Linked DNA regions of Saccharomyces cerevisiae S288C. The protein of the gene in region 3 purifies or fractionates together with the protein of the main gene of each other region. This does not show direct contact. Each region holds a gene or a part of one and is shown on either strand. Other genes may lie near its edges.

The links.
Region 1: the proteins of MLH3 (region 3) and MRX9 purify together in Saccharomyces cerevisiae (affinity purification with mass spectrometry, with the first as the bait; one large-scale study listed by BioGRID). This does not show direct contact.
Region 2: the proteins of MLH3 (region 3) and AIM9 purify together in Saccharomyces cerevisiae (affinity purification with mass spectrometry, with the first as the bait; one large-scale study listed by BioGRID). This does not show direct contact.

The regions. Positions count from the first base shown.
Region 1 is NC_001136.10:402,753-407,556, forward strand, and holds MRX9 (Mrx9p), read right to left. Parts: upstream 2,206-4,804; coding exon 943-2,205; downstream 1-942. Other genes in the region: serine/threonine/tyrosine protein kinase MPS1, read right to left, coding at 1-539; putative serine/threonine protein kinase RTK1, read right to left, coding at 2,592-4,454. UniProt on the Saccharomyces cerevisiae protein: Component of MIOREX complexes, large expressome-like assemblies of ribosomes with factors involved in all the steps of post-transcriptional gene expression.
Region 2 is NC_001137.3:317,310-322,788, forward strand, and holds AIM9 (Aim9p), read left to right. Parts: upstream 1-2,653; coding exon 2,654-4,537; downstream 4,538-5,479. Other genes in the region: ICP55 (aminopeptidase), read right to left, coding at 1-1,033; YER078W-A (uncharacterized protein), read left to right, coding at 1,337-1,501; YER079W (uncharacterized protein), read left to right, coding at 1,611-2,243; phosphoglycerate dehydrogenase SER3, read left to right, coding at 5,377-5,479.
Region 3 is NC_001148.4:238,130-243,584, reverse strand, and holds MLH3 (mismatch repair protein MLH3), read left to right. Parts: upstream 1-2,087; coding exon 2,088-4,235; downstream 4,236-5,455. Other genes in the region: YPL162C (uncharacterized protein), read left to right, coding at 1-379; SVS1 (Svs1p), read left to right, coding at 885-1,667; SET6 (Set6p), read left to right, coding at 4,508-5,455. UniProt on the Saccharomyces cerevisiae protein: Involved in DNA mismatch repair (MMR), correcting insertion-deletion loops (IDLs) resulting from DNA replication, DNA damage or from recombination events between non-identical sequences during meiosis.

The DNA.
Region 1 (4,804 bases), on a different chromosome or scaffold from region 3:
TCATCAAAGATATTTGTCAAAGTCATCGCTCTCTTTGCAGGACCCAGCTTCGTTGTCCTATTGGATATTAAAAATCTCTTACTTCTCCTTTCAGCATACTTTGCCGTAATATCTTCTTTCATATTTTGTCGCAAATTCCTTATCCTTTCAAAACTCTTATCAAGACTATTTCCAACATTTATCTCTATGTCACTAGTGTTCATCGTCGTCATGCTAGTCTGGTGATTATTTCTCAGATATCGTCCGAACAAGGTTGAATGCGATGAGGTACTAGTATGACCGGATGTCAAATTGCCCATTGACGGTGGGGGGTGACTCCTTGATGAACTCCTGTCCATTTCTTCTAATCGATTTGCGATCTTGTCATTATTATGACTTGATAATATCTCTGATGCTGAAGTTTTTTCTGTGTGGGAAAGTAAAGCTGATCCGAAATTGCTTAGTTTTGGAGGCGTAGTGAACTCTTCGTCATCTGAAAACTGTCGTGTATTAGTTCTCGATTTTAAATCCACATAATCATGGAATGAGTTTGTTGACATGTTTGTTTTGAGATCATCCAGTTCTTGCAGAAACAATTTATTATTTTGGTTGTAAAGCTACTTCTATAAACAACTGCAATATTCCTATTCAGACTTCAGTGGGCTGGGTCAAGTAGGCTTCTATAAATTTTGTAGGTTACTATTAATATAGTAGATCTTAAATTCTCTTTAAGCTTGCCTTCACATAAACATCACTATTACTCTTTGCAACCCTTGGTAGTTTTTTTTTGGTTTTGTTTACTATTTCTAATTGATATTATCATTTAATACGATGGAAGTGACACCAAAAATTATTTTGTGTCACTGCACACCATAAATAAAGGTATTGGTCAGAATATATAAACATGTATGATATATAAATTGTGGCATCACAGTAATGCTCAAACAAAAACTTTAATGTTCTTTACTCTTTTAGGGTGTATTCAGTGTTTTTGTCGTTTATTTTTGAAATGTTATATTTTGAAAAGAATTCTCCAGAATCACCATTTGTTGTGATAACAAAGTGTTTTGATAGTAGCGTATTTACACTTTTGATGGCAATAATTGTGTTAAGGGTTTTGCTGCTGTTAGAGGTTTCACTTTCTTGTAATATCTTGAAAAAATCAGCCTTCGAATAAGCTCCGCCATTGAACATTATTGCAGGAAAGGATTCGTCTAAAATAATGACATATACGTCTGCAATATGCTTCTTGCCCTCGAGTTTTTTTGAAGGGTTTAGCGGTAAATTTTTCATTGAGTCTAAATACAACTTGTATCGAACACTGGAAAATATGAAAGTTTGGAATTTTCTGAGTTCACTTCGGCAATTATCAATATCGAGTTCCAAGTCATAGGATTCTTTGATCCATTTCTCGACGCTGTCTCCTAAAAAGTAGGATCTTATTCCCAGTTCGTTCTTGGTGAAGGACTCCAACACTCTTTTCTGCAGGAAACTTAGAAACTGCTTTCTGGTTTCTTCTTGCTTTACTAAATCAACATTCAAACCTTTGGCAAACTCGTTTGGAATTCCCATCCTGGAAGATATCTCTTTCCAACTCTGAACCATAGGTTGTAATTGTAATGATCTCATGGTGGGTAATGTTATTTTCAATTTTGTTTTCGGTAAGGAGGTCAAGACATCTTTGTAAAAGATATTTTTCTGCCATTTTTTGAATTGTTTAAAAAAAAAGAACATAATAAGAAGGGGAAAAAAAAAGTGAAAAATTAAGGGAATAACGACTATCGTTGATGTTAGAATGAATGTGAAGATACTTGCAGTTGCAAATATGATAAAAAATGGGGAGACTTTATATACTTTCACAAACGGCTTGTTACCGTTCTTTGGTGACTTCGAAGAAAATATAAACTTTATTTCTGCACGTCGTGACGAATGGAAGGCTCTTTTACCAACCAACCTGGATGTCGAGCTTTTCAGACTGGATAGAAATTGGTGAGTGGTAGAACAATAATTAGAAGAAATGCATGAAAGCTTACGAAACTGGAAACTTTCTCCTCGATATTTTGGAATTGCGGGAGATGTAATCGCCGAAGGCACTGGTTTAGGAAAAGCCCTTAATATTCCTGGCAAGTACATATTGAAACCCTTTCCATTATTGAGACTATTGAGCGTAACGCTGTTCATAAGCTCCCTTGTCCTACTGGCTAATCCCACTGGAACTTTGAACATTTTTTCCTACTCATATGTGGTTATGGTGGTCTTATTTATCTGCGCTAAATCACTTTTCAATTATTCTTTGCAGTTTATAGGGGAGGAGACTTCCTCTTTGTAAAATCTAATAGGGCGTGTTCACAATTTTATGCGTCGGGTGACTTCAATTTGGCGCCCGTTGAGATTATCTAAAAAATGCTTTTATTTATTTAAGCGCTTTTTGTTTTGACGAATGTATTTATGTTTTTGTATATATATGAGCGTTTTTTTTTTCCAGATTTAACTAGTTTTCTTTTTCACCTGTATGCACACCATCTTTTATTCCTATATAATGCCTTTTATAGTACTTTGAATCTTCTATATACAATTTTTTAGGTTTTATCTTTTAAAAAGTGTTTATTTCATTAATTTGAATCTTTATTCCCGTGTTGCTTGGTCAGCTCATTCAACTCCTCCTCAGTGACCAAGTGATGCTTATGATTCTTTGGTTTTTCAACCAAATCGCCAGATGTAGGGTCAACTTCACAGGAGGGGACGGATACAAGCCAATCATCCTTTACCACGTCATTCATTAAAACTCTTTGCTTTGGTTCTAAAGCCAACATTCTGCCTATTATTGTCCGTGAATGTCTTGGCAGTAGCCTTAATATTTTATTTGGCCCCCGAACTATATCATCTTCGTCCTCAGGTTCCTCAGTAAATAACCTAAATGAGTTGAAGCTCTTTTTTGGAGCCTTCCAAGGAAATCTTTTAAGGACCATACAGTAAAATATAATAGCGATAGACCACACATCTGCTACTCTTGGATCGTAGGATGTTTGTTTCAATAACTCAGGAGCCAAATAAGGGTCAGAACCCACGATTCCATGTGATTTTACAATGGTATCTTCGTAAGGGTATTGGAACACTACAGCGCTCCCAAAGTCAATCAGTTTCAAGATGCCATCTTTAGTGACGACACAATTGTCCAATTTTAAATCCCTATGAGCTAAGCCCATAGAGTGCAGGTAATTAACGCCGTGGCACAGCTGCTTGAAGTAACAGTTGACTTCATCTTGTGTCATTAGGTTACTCATGACGAGATTAAAAAAATCATATGGCGCATACTCCATTACTAATAAATAGGTGTCACCTTCAGTCAACATATCTAGGGTTTCAACGATATTTTCGTGGTGCAGCGTGGAACCAATACAAAATTCAGTGGTAACCTTCTTAGAATAATTAGCTAATTGAGACTGATTAGTTCCTTCATTGTTTAAGTGTGGTTTTCTGAACATTTTGCAAGCAAATAACTTGCCGTCTGTTCTTTCTACTACGGACACTGAACCGGAAGCTCCTTCGCCTAATTTTCTACCAGGAATACCATATTTTTCTAATAGCTCCACTGGGTTATCTGTTTCGTATAACGCTTTTCCGTTACTTTCTACTATATTTTCATTGGTGTTCAAATTGAGCTTCGGTTTTGTAGGGGTGGATCCACGGTTGTGATGGTGGTGATGATGATGGTTATCGTGATAATCATTATGAATTTTTTTGAAAAATCTTGTTAATCTCAAGGATTTTTTCTTTCTTGATGAGGTATCATCACTACCGCTTGAAGAATTATGCTGTAGTTCCACGGACCCAGGGGTGGAGGCTTGAGAGTCCATGAAGTGTTTGTCTTCAATCTGTTTCTGTAGTATCTCTACGGGATGCATATGTGCCTGGTATGATAAATTCGAAGAGGGTGTATCAGATTTTGCAGAAGACACTGTAGAAATGTTGCTATGAGCTGTAGAGCGAACGGGGTGAGGATGGTGGAAAGCATCTTTTGAGCCTTGATGAATGTAGTTTATTGGATTGTGAATACTATGGGGTAAGTGGGGCACAGTGTGTCCCGTACGAACGGGATTATGATTGTTAGGTAAGGGCCGTGAAGGAGAGTAGTCAATAGGAGCTTTTTTAGCTGAAGTAGGAGAAATACCTGTCAAAGTAGAACTTGCTACTACGTGTGACTCCTTTGACAACGCGCCATTTCCCTGGGGGCTCTTTCCTATGGTAGATCTTCGGTCGTTGGGTTTGTTATACTTTATTTGATCCTCTTGGTCAGAATCTGTATTCTTTTTTGAAGATCTAGAAGAAGACCTTGAAACATCATCTGTCTTTGAGTATGATTGGTTACCACCTCCATTGAATATTTTAGCCGATAAATTCTTCAACTTAGTTGGCCTAAATAATGAAGACAGCGAAGTTGATGAAGATGAGTGTAATGGAGTTTCCTTAACCATTATGCTATGAATTTCAGGCTGCTCTTTTCTGTCCTTCTCTCTTTTTTTCCCTCTCAAATCCTCTCAGCTTATTAGCGCACTAAAGAGTCAGTTTGGGTGAATAGCGTAATCAACTTATGGAAAAGAAGAACACTAGAATCCGTCACTATTGGCTGCAAATAAGTATTATATCTTTTTTCAATGAGAAATCTTGCTTGCCCCATAACAGGTACAATACTTAGCAAGCCAGGAAGAGTCACACTGCAAAATAGATATATGAGAAGCGGAAGTAGCTTTTCCCCTTATAGATGTACGCCGTTCGATATTACCCGAACTGCAAGAAAAGCTTCTCCAAATATCTACTGGCCTCC
Region 2 (5,479 bases), on a different chromosome or scaffold from region 3:
TGGGCCACGTTCTCGAAATATCAGCACAATAACCACCCAAGGAGCCAGCAGCGTCTACAAGAACCATTTCGTCGTCAAACATCACATCATCGTTTCTTGTGTAATGGATACACAAAGAATTCGAACCAGTAGCGACCACGGGGATATATGCGTCCTTATCGCAACCACCGGATATAAACTTGTAATGAAGAAAGGAATCTAAAGTTCTCTCATTCCTAAATCTTTTAGCAAAGGCTTGATTGAACGATCTTCCTGATATTTGGCCAGCTCTCCTCATAATTCTCAACTCTTGAGGGGACTTGATCTTACGGAACTCTGCAATTCTTTTACTGATGGGTTTGATGGTCTTATTCGCAATGGAATTCAATGATCGATTGCTATTCCCACTGCCATCTAACAGGCTCTTGATGTGTTTAAAATTGGACGAACTGGGATTAGAAGTTGATAGCATATCAAAATAGATGAAATCATTCCTGTTAATTATTTTGGGCAAATATTTAGACAAATCGTTAATGGAAGCAGATTCATCGGCATTGAAAATTTCTTGAACACCATAAACCCCAGACCTAAATCCTTCCCACTTTTCAGCAAACGCATCCTTTGGCGGAACCAGCATGTGGAAAATTGTATCACTTAAACTATCCGTTGGCTTTTCTAAAATCATGACCGAATTAGGTTCATTCCAACCACTAAGATAAAACAGGTCATTTTCCTGTTGGAACGGATAAAATACTGCTCCAGATGCAAATTGGATATCGTTACCAGCTAAAATCACACAACTTTTGGGAGGCAATGTTTCCGCCAACCTAATTCTTCTTTCATAGTATTCCAAGGCTGAAATGCCTGGTGTCAACTCGCCCGACTTTATAAGGAACGGCCTTGTCTCATGCAGTGGTTGGCCTGCCTCAATGGGGATTCTGACTCTATTAGTAAAAGTATTACTTTTATGCTGTTCCAATGGCGATACCAACTTCGAGAAGTATCTTTGGCAAGATTGCATAGAAAACCGTACTGGGTTTATCCTATGTAACATATCAACAGAAAATGACCACTTTTCCTATTAGCTTTTTCTATTATATTCTTTAGAATTGGTGGAGTTTCTTGCGCAAACGATCCACTTTTGCAGTGCAGTAAGTGATCCCTATACCAGGTGAGTTGATATATATTTACTGTATCTTGTACTATTTTATGAACAAGAAAGGCTATTACTCACAACAGTTTTGGTTTCAGTCAAAGTTTATGTGTGAGTGTGAGTGTGAATGTGTGCGTGTTGCATAATTGCATTTGGCCTTTCCGAGAAATAAGTCATTCTTTATTTTTCTCTCTTTACGGTTTAATGGTGCGGCTTTCGTATCTGCGTCTCATCCTTCCCCCTTGCCGCTTGTCAGAACTCTCTAGCTTGGCGATTCTCTATCAACCTGTTATTCCAATTCTTATATCTACCATTACCTTCCAGCATTTTTTCAAATGTGTTCACACGCCCTGTAACGTTTATATATAAATATTTTAATATTTAACTTAGCTTATGCATATATAGTTAAAAGGGATAATAACAATAAGAATAAAAAACACAAACTGCTGAGATAAGAAAAGGAAGCGAATAGTTAATAATGCCTGATTCATCACATTCAATAAGCTCAAAAGATGTTGCATCTGCCATCTCTCTCTATGATCAGTCCATTTACACTAATAACAGGTCTACTAACCTGGACTTAGATCAGAGATCAATGAGCCCTTCCAATATTGCCTCTGGTGAAGATAGGATAACGAGAACGAACTCAGGTTGCTCCATCACATCAGGTGCCTCCATGATTGCCACGAAGGATGGTATTCAGGGGATTAATGTCAAAAGAGATGGGATTCCGAAATATTCACTTAATTTATTGAATTCCATGGTTCGAAAACAATATGATCACAATAATGGAACAAAGTCTCCTACCCCGAAGACTAGCAATATGGTAGACCCTAAGAACAAAAAGAAGAACAAAAAAAAGAAGAATGACAAGGATGACAAATACAAGGTATCGCATGATCAAACCGAAAAGTTTTACAAACTCAACACCACTTCCAACTCCAATCTCACCTCTGATTCTACTACTTCGTTATCGGACCAGTTTTATTTCCAGAAAAGTAACGCTGATTCTGCTCCATTAGACAATGCAAATTACCCACTCTCCGACCATTCCCCCTCCCTAAACTCTATGGATAATACTACAAAGCATAGCAGCAATGTGCACACTTGAATCACGTGAACCACAGTAACCTAATTGCTCAAATTTTGAGAGTTAAAGGAAAGAATAAAATATATAAATGATACGTTTATACCCGCTAAAAAAAAAAAATATAAAACAAAAAAAGGATCTCATAAGACGATTTGTTGGGATATGTCCACATCTTTCGGCTATATACTACATTTAGCTGTTTCCCGTTTCTTTGTATTATTCCCTTCTTATGTATAACTTTTACTAGTAATAATTATAATAAATATTCGTTTTGAAACATGGTAATTTCAAATGTTCAATGTATTTTCGGGCCGATTGCTGACCAGCGACACTTTAAGCCGAACTGTATTTAGTAGACTCCCTTTTCTCATCAGCGAAGAAGAAGTAGCAAAAGCTGTTTAGCAAGCAAGACAGCAATACGAAGACCAAGCATGATTAGGTACACTGTTGCTGGCCATTCCAGAAGGTGTGTAGTAGGAGCTTCGAAAAGAGTGGGTGCAATTAAATGTATCACCGTCGCCGCCACCAAGAGATTTATCTCCAATAAGCCAAACGAAGTTTTTACCAAGCTAACGAATGACAATGATCCAAAGAGAGATGCCTTTTTCAAATATACGTGGGGCTCATGGCTTAAAAATGATAAGCAAGAAAAGGAAAAAAGATTCACGAAGTTTTCGATTGAAGGTTTAAATCGCATTCTCAATGACATCTACATTCAATCTAATGAAATGGCTAAGGCCCCCGACGGTAAGATCTTACCACCAGTGTTTAACAAGAACTTGACCGTTTCATTGGTCAATAACGTTGTACCAAAGAATATAGGTAAAATCAACCCAAATGAAAAAGTTCAAGTAACCACATTATCTAGTATTCACGAAGGTAAACATCACAGAATATACAAGGTCGACACGAATTTGAACAAGGCATTTATCTTGAGGATTCCTTATCCGCTGGAAAATGAAAACACTCTATCCTACAGAATAAGAAGTGAAGTAGCAACCATGGATTTTGCTGACTTGAAGTTGGGCATCAAAGTTCCCAAGATTTTTTGTTATGGTGTCAATTCTTTGAACCCTGTAAGGCAGCCTTTTGTCTTACAAGAATTTATCGAAGGAGAACTCTTGATGAAAGATTGGGATCCATTGATTGAAGACGGTTCCTCCAATCAAAAAAAATATGACAATGTTATTAAACAAGTTTCTGATTTTCAGTCGAAGTTAGTGTCATTGAAATTAAATGCATTTGGATCCATATATTTTAACAATGACTTAAAAGACGGAAATGAGAAGGAGTTTGTTAAGGAAGACATATACGATGGGGAAACTAATCCGGATCTACAAAACAGATGGAAAATTGGGCCATCCGTGGAAAGATGTCTCTGGAGACATAAATCTCACTTGGATTTTCATAAACAAATGAAACCTTTTTTGGGACCATGGCCAAAGAAGTCTCCAATGGATATAATTAAAAATACTGGCCTATTGGAAGCTGAAAATGCTAAAACTAGAATAGCCATGAAAGAGGCAGGAAGTTCAGCTGAATTGATGTATCCTCGAACTTTGAAGGAGCAAATAACTACCTATGAAAATTTAGCTAAGATTGCCCCGGATTTATTCAACGTCAAAACAAAGGCCATTCCAAATATGCAGGAACTATTGTCACCACGTTTGTTTCATCCTGATCTAGACCCCATGAATATTATTGTTAACAAAGAAGCACAAGAAGCCTATCTATTAGATTTTGAAGGAGCATGCACAAAACCTTTCATTTTACAGAATTCGCCACAATTCATCGCCTATGATGGGCCCAAGATTTATGACTTAAAGGAGGACATAACCGATTTTGACAAATTATCTGAGGCGGAAAAGGTGCAATATCAGTTCATGTACAAGCGCACCCGTAATCAACATCAATGGGAGAAAAAATTAAATGACAATAATCCTAAATTAATTACTGCAGTTGCCCCACCTGTTAAGCTACTGAGAAGCCCATATATTGCAGCTGTCGAAAGAAAAACGGAAGAAGAGTATTTACTTATTGATGAATCACTATTGCAATTGAAGGAAGTTTGGGACATCTTTGCCCAGAATGAGTTAGTGAATCAGAAAAAGTTTCCTCTAAACTATAGTAAAGAAGATATTGAAAGACATGTTGAGGATTTGCAAAAATTACACGAAAAGCTAATCTCTACACCATTTGCTGCCACTCAAGGGTGGATTCCTCAAGATATGTTTGATCAACTATTAAATTCCGGCAGTATTGTTAAGCAAGAGAACGGAGACTACACCGTGAAGCAACCTGAAGCTACCAAATAATCTATACTAAAAATGAAATATTTTTTTGTTTTCTTTACCTCATTCAACTGTATAGAACGTTATAACAAAATAATCAAGTTAAAACCCTTTTTTGTACACAATGGAATCTCTTCCATTTACTAATCAACTTAACAATGCTGGATTGGATATATTGATAACGTTTTAAAAAGCGTTGCGTGATGTTTGGGTGCAATTGGCGGAAAAGCGGAACTTTCAAATTTACGATAGGTGGAGATACATCTCCACCTTTCTCCCCATTATCTTTGAATTTTCCTCAAATATATAAAGAGAACAACAAATCCATAGAAATGCCATTGTTTAATCCTGATTATCTACATTGTTTTAGTTTTTTACTCACAATCGAGTAATGCCTTTGTTTGGCCAAGCTATGTGCAAATATCACAAATTAAAAATTTGGTTAAGCAGTTAGGCTGGACCTAATATTTTAGAAAAACCTAATTTTTTTTGTGGACCCATTTTCGATATTTACTCACAAATGGAATTCAAGGGGAACAACTTCGGTCTCAGCACTTTAATTATTCTTCTCGTTCCCACCTAATTTCGCAATTTATTGTCCTTGACTTCTACCACGAGAAAAAAATTAAGAAAATGCAACGCTGCCCGTGCAGGGTTTTCTGAGCGGGATGAAAAAATCAGACAAATATCCAAGTTATGAGTAATTACTTTGTTGGAAGGAGGGAGCAGAGGATAAGGAAATTCTTAAAACTGTTATGTATATAAAGGAAGAACCATTTCTAGTTATTTCACTTTTTGATACTTGTCAACTATCTTAGTAAAAATACAGAACTCTATAAAGAACCACAGAAAAATCGACAGCAATGACAAGCATTGACATTAACAACTTACAAAATACCTTTCAACAAGCTATGAATATGAGCGGCTCCCCAGGCGCTGTTTGTACTTCACCTACGCAATCTTTCA
Region 3 (5,455 bases):
CTTATTCTCTGCCTTCGTGAAACAGCTGCTTATATTCATTGTTGGGCTGGGCGTGATGAAGTTCTGCGTGTTTCTAATACTAAACTACTTAGAAGACTTGGCATACTGGTTCGCCGATCTTATCCTTGGCTGGTCAGATTCATGGCCAAACTTTCAAGTTTTTCTGGTCATGTTTGTCTTTCCTATCTTACTGAATTGCTTCCAGTACTTTTGTGTCGACAATGTCATCAGGTTACATTCTGAGAGCCTAACGATAACCAATGCAGAGAATTTTGAAACGAACACATTCCTAAATGACGAAATTCCTGATTTATCGGAAGTCTCAAATGAAGTGCCTAACAAGGATAACAACATTTCCAGCTATGGTAGCATAATATAGTATTCCAAGGATAAGGAAAGCATGCACTGTTTATTTCCTTTCCTTGCTTAATTGATTTTTTTTAAAGGGAACAAACATTTTGATTTCAATTTCCACAAGCCTAGACTCTTCAACACATAATCTGTGGGTTATTGTTTGGGAAAGCATTCTCCGCTAGAAGAATGAAACTGGCGCTCAGGTTTGATTCTATAACTACGGCAGTTTTTCCTATTCTATTTTCGTTTTTTGATTTTCCCGCCGCATTGGATATTCAATTCGCGACGCTAATAATTGGCATTTCGTGTTCTTAAGTAATTTCGTGTTTCAAATAACCGTAAACAGAGAAAGACCCAAGAATTTCAGATGGCTTAGAAGAGGTAGACATTAAATCAATCTGTATGTGATGGAGAGGGAGTGTATTTAAAAGACGTAAGAAAATGAATTATCAAGATCCGTTATGGCCATCTAGTCTCTTTCTTGTACACTAGTTGTCTAACACAACCAACAAATTAGAATATATATCGCAATGATTTTCAAAATATTGTGTAGTTTACTACTGGTAACCTCCAACTTCGCTTCTGCCTTATATGTCAATGAAACTACGAGCTATACACCATACACGAAGACATTAACTCCAACATACTCTGTTTCACCTCAAGAGACAACATTAACGTACAGCGATGAAACAACCACCTTCTACATAACATCTACTTTTTACTCTACCTACTGGTTCACTACCTCCCAATCAGCTGCTATTATTAGTACACCTACTGCAAGTACACCTACTGCAAGCACGCCTAGCCTAACTACGTCCACAAATGAATACACCACCACCTATTCTGACACAGACACCACCTACACGTCTACTCTGACCTCTACTTACATAATAACTCTATCTACGGAATCCGCCAACGAGAAGGCTGAACAGATTTCCACGAGCGTCACAGAAATTGCTTCTACAGTAACCGAATCGGGCAGTACATACACCTCTACTTTGACCTCAACCTTATTGGTTACTGTATATAATTCCCAAGCTAGTAATACAATAGCGACATCCACAGCTGGGGACGCCGCCTCCAATGTTGATGCCTTAGAAAAGTTAGTCTCTGCTGAACATCAATCTCAGATGATTCAAACCACATCCGCCGATGAACAGTACTGTAGTGCGTCTACCAAGTATGTTACAGTTACAGCTGCTGCAGTTACCGAAGTGGTTACTACTACGGCGGAGCCTGTTGTTAAATACGTTACTATAACTGCCGATGCTAGTAATGTTACAGGTTCTGCTAACAACGGTACCCACATTTAATGCGTGACGTTGAATCGAGAAAAAAAGCTACTTTTAACGAAACCTTTACTAGTTATCCTATATGGGATCACTAGTATTTTTTGATTTACGATTCAATAAATAGACTAGAGACAACTTTCATATCATTCCTTAAAAAATACATAAAGCGCAAATTCAACCCCATTGATACATATATAAGTAGTTCTATTATGACTTTCAAGAACAATAGTAGCTTTTCTAAATAATCAATAAGTAGCACAAAATCTGTCTGTTTGTACGCTTATATTTAGTTTGCGTTTATTTGCGAGCGCCACGAGAAGGGGCAGGAAAAAAAGATCAATAGTTTGCAATAAACATCGAATGATGATTTCAACCACCGATACATAAACCAGCGAGGCTTTCAAGGAAGAATGAACGTGAACTCGTCAACTCAAAAAGAAAATGAGCCAGCATATTAGGAAATTAGATTCTGATGTTTCTGAAAGACTTAAATCTCAGGCATGCACGGTATCGCTAGCATCAGCGGTTAGAGAAATAGTTCAAAATTCTGTAGATGCACACGCTACCACTATCGACGTCATGATCGACCTCCCTAATTTGAGCTTTGCAGTTTACGATGATGGTATTGGTTTGACTCGAAGTGACCTAAATATATTGGCCACACAAAATTATACTTCCAAAATACGAAAGATGAATGATTTAGTAACGATGAAAACCTACGGTTACAGAGGAGACGCCCTATATAGCATTTCTAATGTCTCTAATCTGTTTGTTTGTTCCAAGAAAAAGGATTACAACTCTGCATGGATGAGAAAATTTCCATCCAAAAGCGTCATGTTGAGTGAGAATACCATACTCCCAATAGATCCTTTTTGGAAAATTTGTCCTTGGAGCCGAACAAAGTCTGGTACTGTTGTTATTGTTGAAGATATGCTGTATAATTTACCTGTCCGGCGCAGAATACTAAAGGAAGAACCCCCTTTCAAGACTTTTAACACAATAAAGGCAGATATGCTACAGATACTGGTAATGCACCCGATGATTTCACTCAACGTACAATATACAGACAAACTCAGAATCAATACAGAAGTTCTTTTCCGCTCAAAGAACATAACTGAGGGGTTAACAAAGCACCAGCAAATGTCTCAAGTACTGAGAAATGTGTTTGGGGCAATAATACCACCGGATATGCTTAAGAAAGTTTCCTTGAAGTTTAATGAATATCAGATTGAAGGGATCATATCGAAGATGCCCGTTGGATTGAAGGATCTTCAATTTATATATATCAATGGCAGACGTTATGCGGACAGCGCCTTTCAAGGATACGTCGATTCTTTATTCCAAGCACAAGATTTCGGGGAGAAAGGCATGAGTTTACTCAAAACTAAAAGCGTGGGAAAACCGTATCGATCACATCCCGTCTTCATCCTTGATGTTCGGTGCCCCCAAACTATCGATGACCTGTTACAAGATCCAGCAAAGAAAATTGTTAAGCCTTCCCATATACGTACCATTGAACCATTGATCGTTAAGACCATTCGCTCCTTTCTGACATTTCAAGGATACTTAACGCCTGATAAATCAGATTCATCTTTCGAAATAGTCAATTGTTCACAGAAGACGGCAACATTGCCTGATAGTCGAATCCAAATCAGTAAACGTAATCAAGTATTAAATTCAAAAATGAAGATTGCACGCATTAATTCATACATAGGAAAACCCGCTGTCAATGGATGTAGAATAAACAATAGTACAATAAACTACGAAAAAATCAAGAATATAAGAATCGACGGTCAGAAATCAAGGTTACGGAATAAACTCTCTTCCAGGCCCTACGATAGTGGTTTTACAGAAGATTATGACAGTATAGGAAAAACCATAACAGATTTTTCAATATCAAGATCTGTCCTGGCAAAATATGAAGTGATTAATCAAGTAGATAAAAAATTTATTCTCATACGTTGTTTAGACCAATCTATTCATAATTGCCCACTATTAGTTCTAGTTGATCAACATGCTTGCGATGAGAGGATAAGACTAGAAGAGCTATTTTATAGCCTGTTGACAGAAGTTGTAACCGGAACTTTTGTTGCACGAGACCTCAAGGATTGTTGCATTGAAGTTGATCGTACTGAGGCTGACTTATTTAAGCATTATCAAAGTGAATTTAAAAAGTGGGGAATTGGCTATGAAACAATTGAGGGAACAATGGAAACCTCACTTTTGGAAATTAAAACACTGCCTGAGATGTTAACTTCCAAATATAACGGGGATAAAGACTACTTAAAAATGGTCTTGCTGCAACATGCTCATGACCTGAAGGATTTCAAAAAACTTCCAATGGATTTATCCCATTTCGAAAACTACACTTCGGTTGATAAATTATATTGGTGGAAGTACTCAAGCTGCGTTCCAACGGTCTTTCATGAAATTCTTAACAGCAAGGCATGCAGATCTGCTGTTATGTTTGGAGATGAATTAACCCGGCAAGAGTGCATAATTTTAATTAGCAAGCTCTCGCGATGCCATAACCCATTCGAATGCGCCCACGGGAGACCTTCTATGGTACCCATTGCAGAATTGAAGTAAAGAGAACCTTAATCCTGGAACAAGGTTTGTCGCCTGCATTTTAAATTGCGCGGATATGCAAAACAGAAGATTACCTCATCACGTTGTCAAAACCTGGAAAAATTTAAAAAACAAAAACAAAAAAGAAACGTGCGATACAATACTGCTCCACTGTTGCATTACCGTTTTATGTATCTCTGATATTATAAATGTAGCCCTAGATTTATATGAATATATATATATATATATATACCATTTATATATGCAAACACAAAATAACCTAAAATTTAAAAATGACTATTGATGGAGACGTACATGAAATTTCCCCATTTTTCCAGGTTAGGCAAACTAAATGGGGCGGTAGGGCTTGTTTCAGTAATGGTAATATTCCTAAAGGGACAACAGTCTTGCAAGTCAGTAATTTTACAGGAACATCTATTTCCTATGAGTTCAGGAAGGAAGTTTGTCACAATTGTTTCGCATACGCTAATGCGAAAACTATGAAGTACAAACTAAACTACGATTACCTGAGAGATTTGGTTTGTAATGCACACTACCAAATTAACCCTAAGAAGTTTCTGGGCGCTGGACTGTGGTTCTGTTCAGAACATTGCAGAACTTCTTATCTTCAAATACCAAATATCATTGAATTAATTGAATGTTATGAGATATTACTGCATCATTTTCCAAGCATGCTGAAAAGATATAATTATACCTCTGAACAGGAGGAAAAATTAAACTCTATCTTAATTTCGGAAAATGTCATACAGTCTTCATGGGATGAGATTGAAAGTAAATGGATACCGCGCATCAACAACATGAAATCTGCGAAGAGAATAAATCAATTACCACCCACTTGCGAAGATGAATATTGCTGCATTAGGTTTGTGTGCGAGAGTTTGTTTAATCTTAAATATATGGATCCTCAGTGCATAACATACCGAGCTTTCAATATGTTACAATCGAATGAGCTTAGCAAAATATCTAAATTTCCTGTCTTACTGCACTTTCAAAAATTAGTATTTCAAACACTCTATATTCTATTACCTTCACATTTGCATAGAATGCTCTCCATACCGCTATTGAGACATATATTAGGTACTGAATATGGGAATGCTTTTGGTTTATGGCAAGAGGGCGAAGCCTCAGACAGCAGAGAATATTTTGGATACTGGGTATTTCCAGAAGCCTCCTATTTCAACCACTCTTGTAACCCCAATATAACGAAATATCGTAAAGGT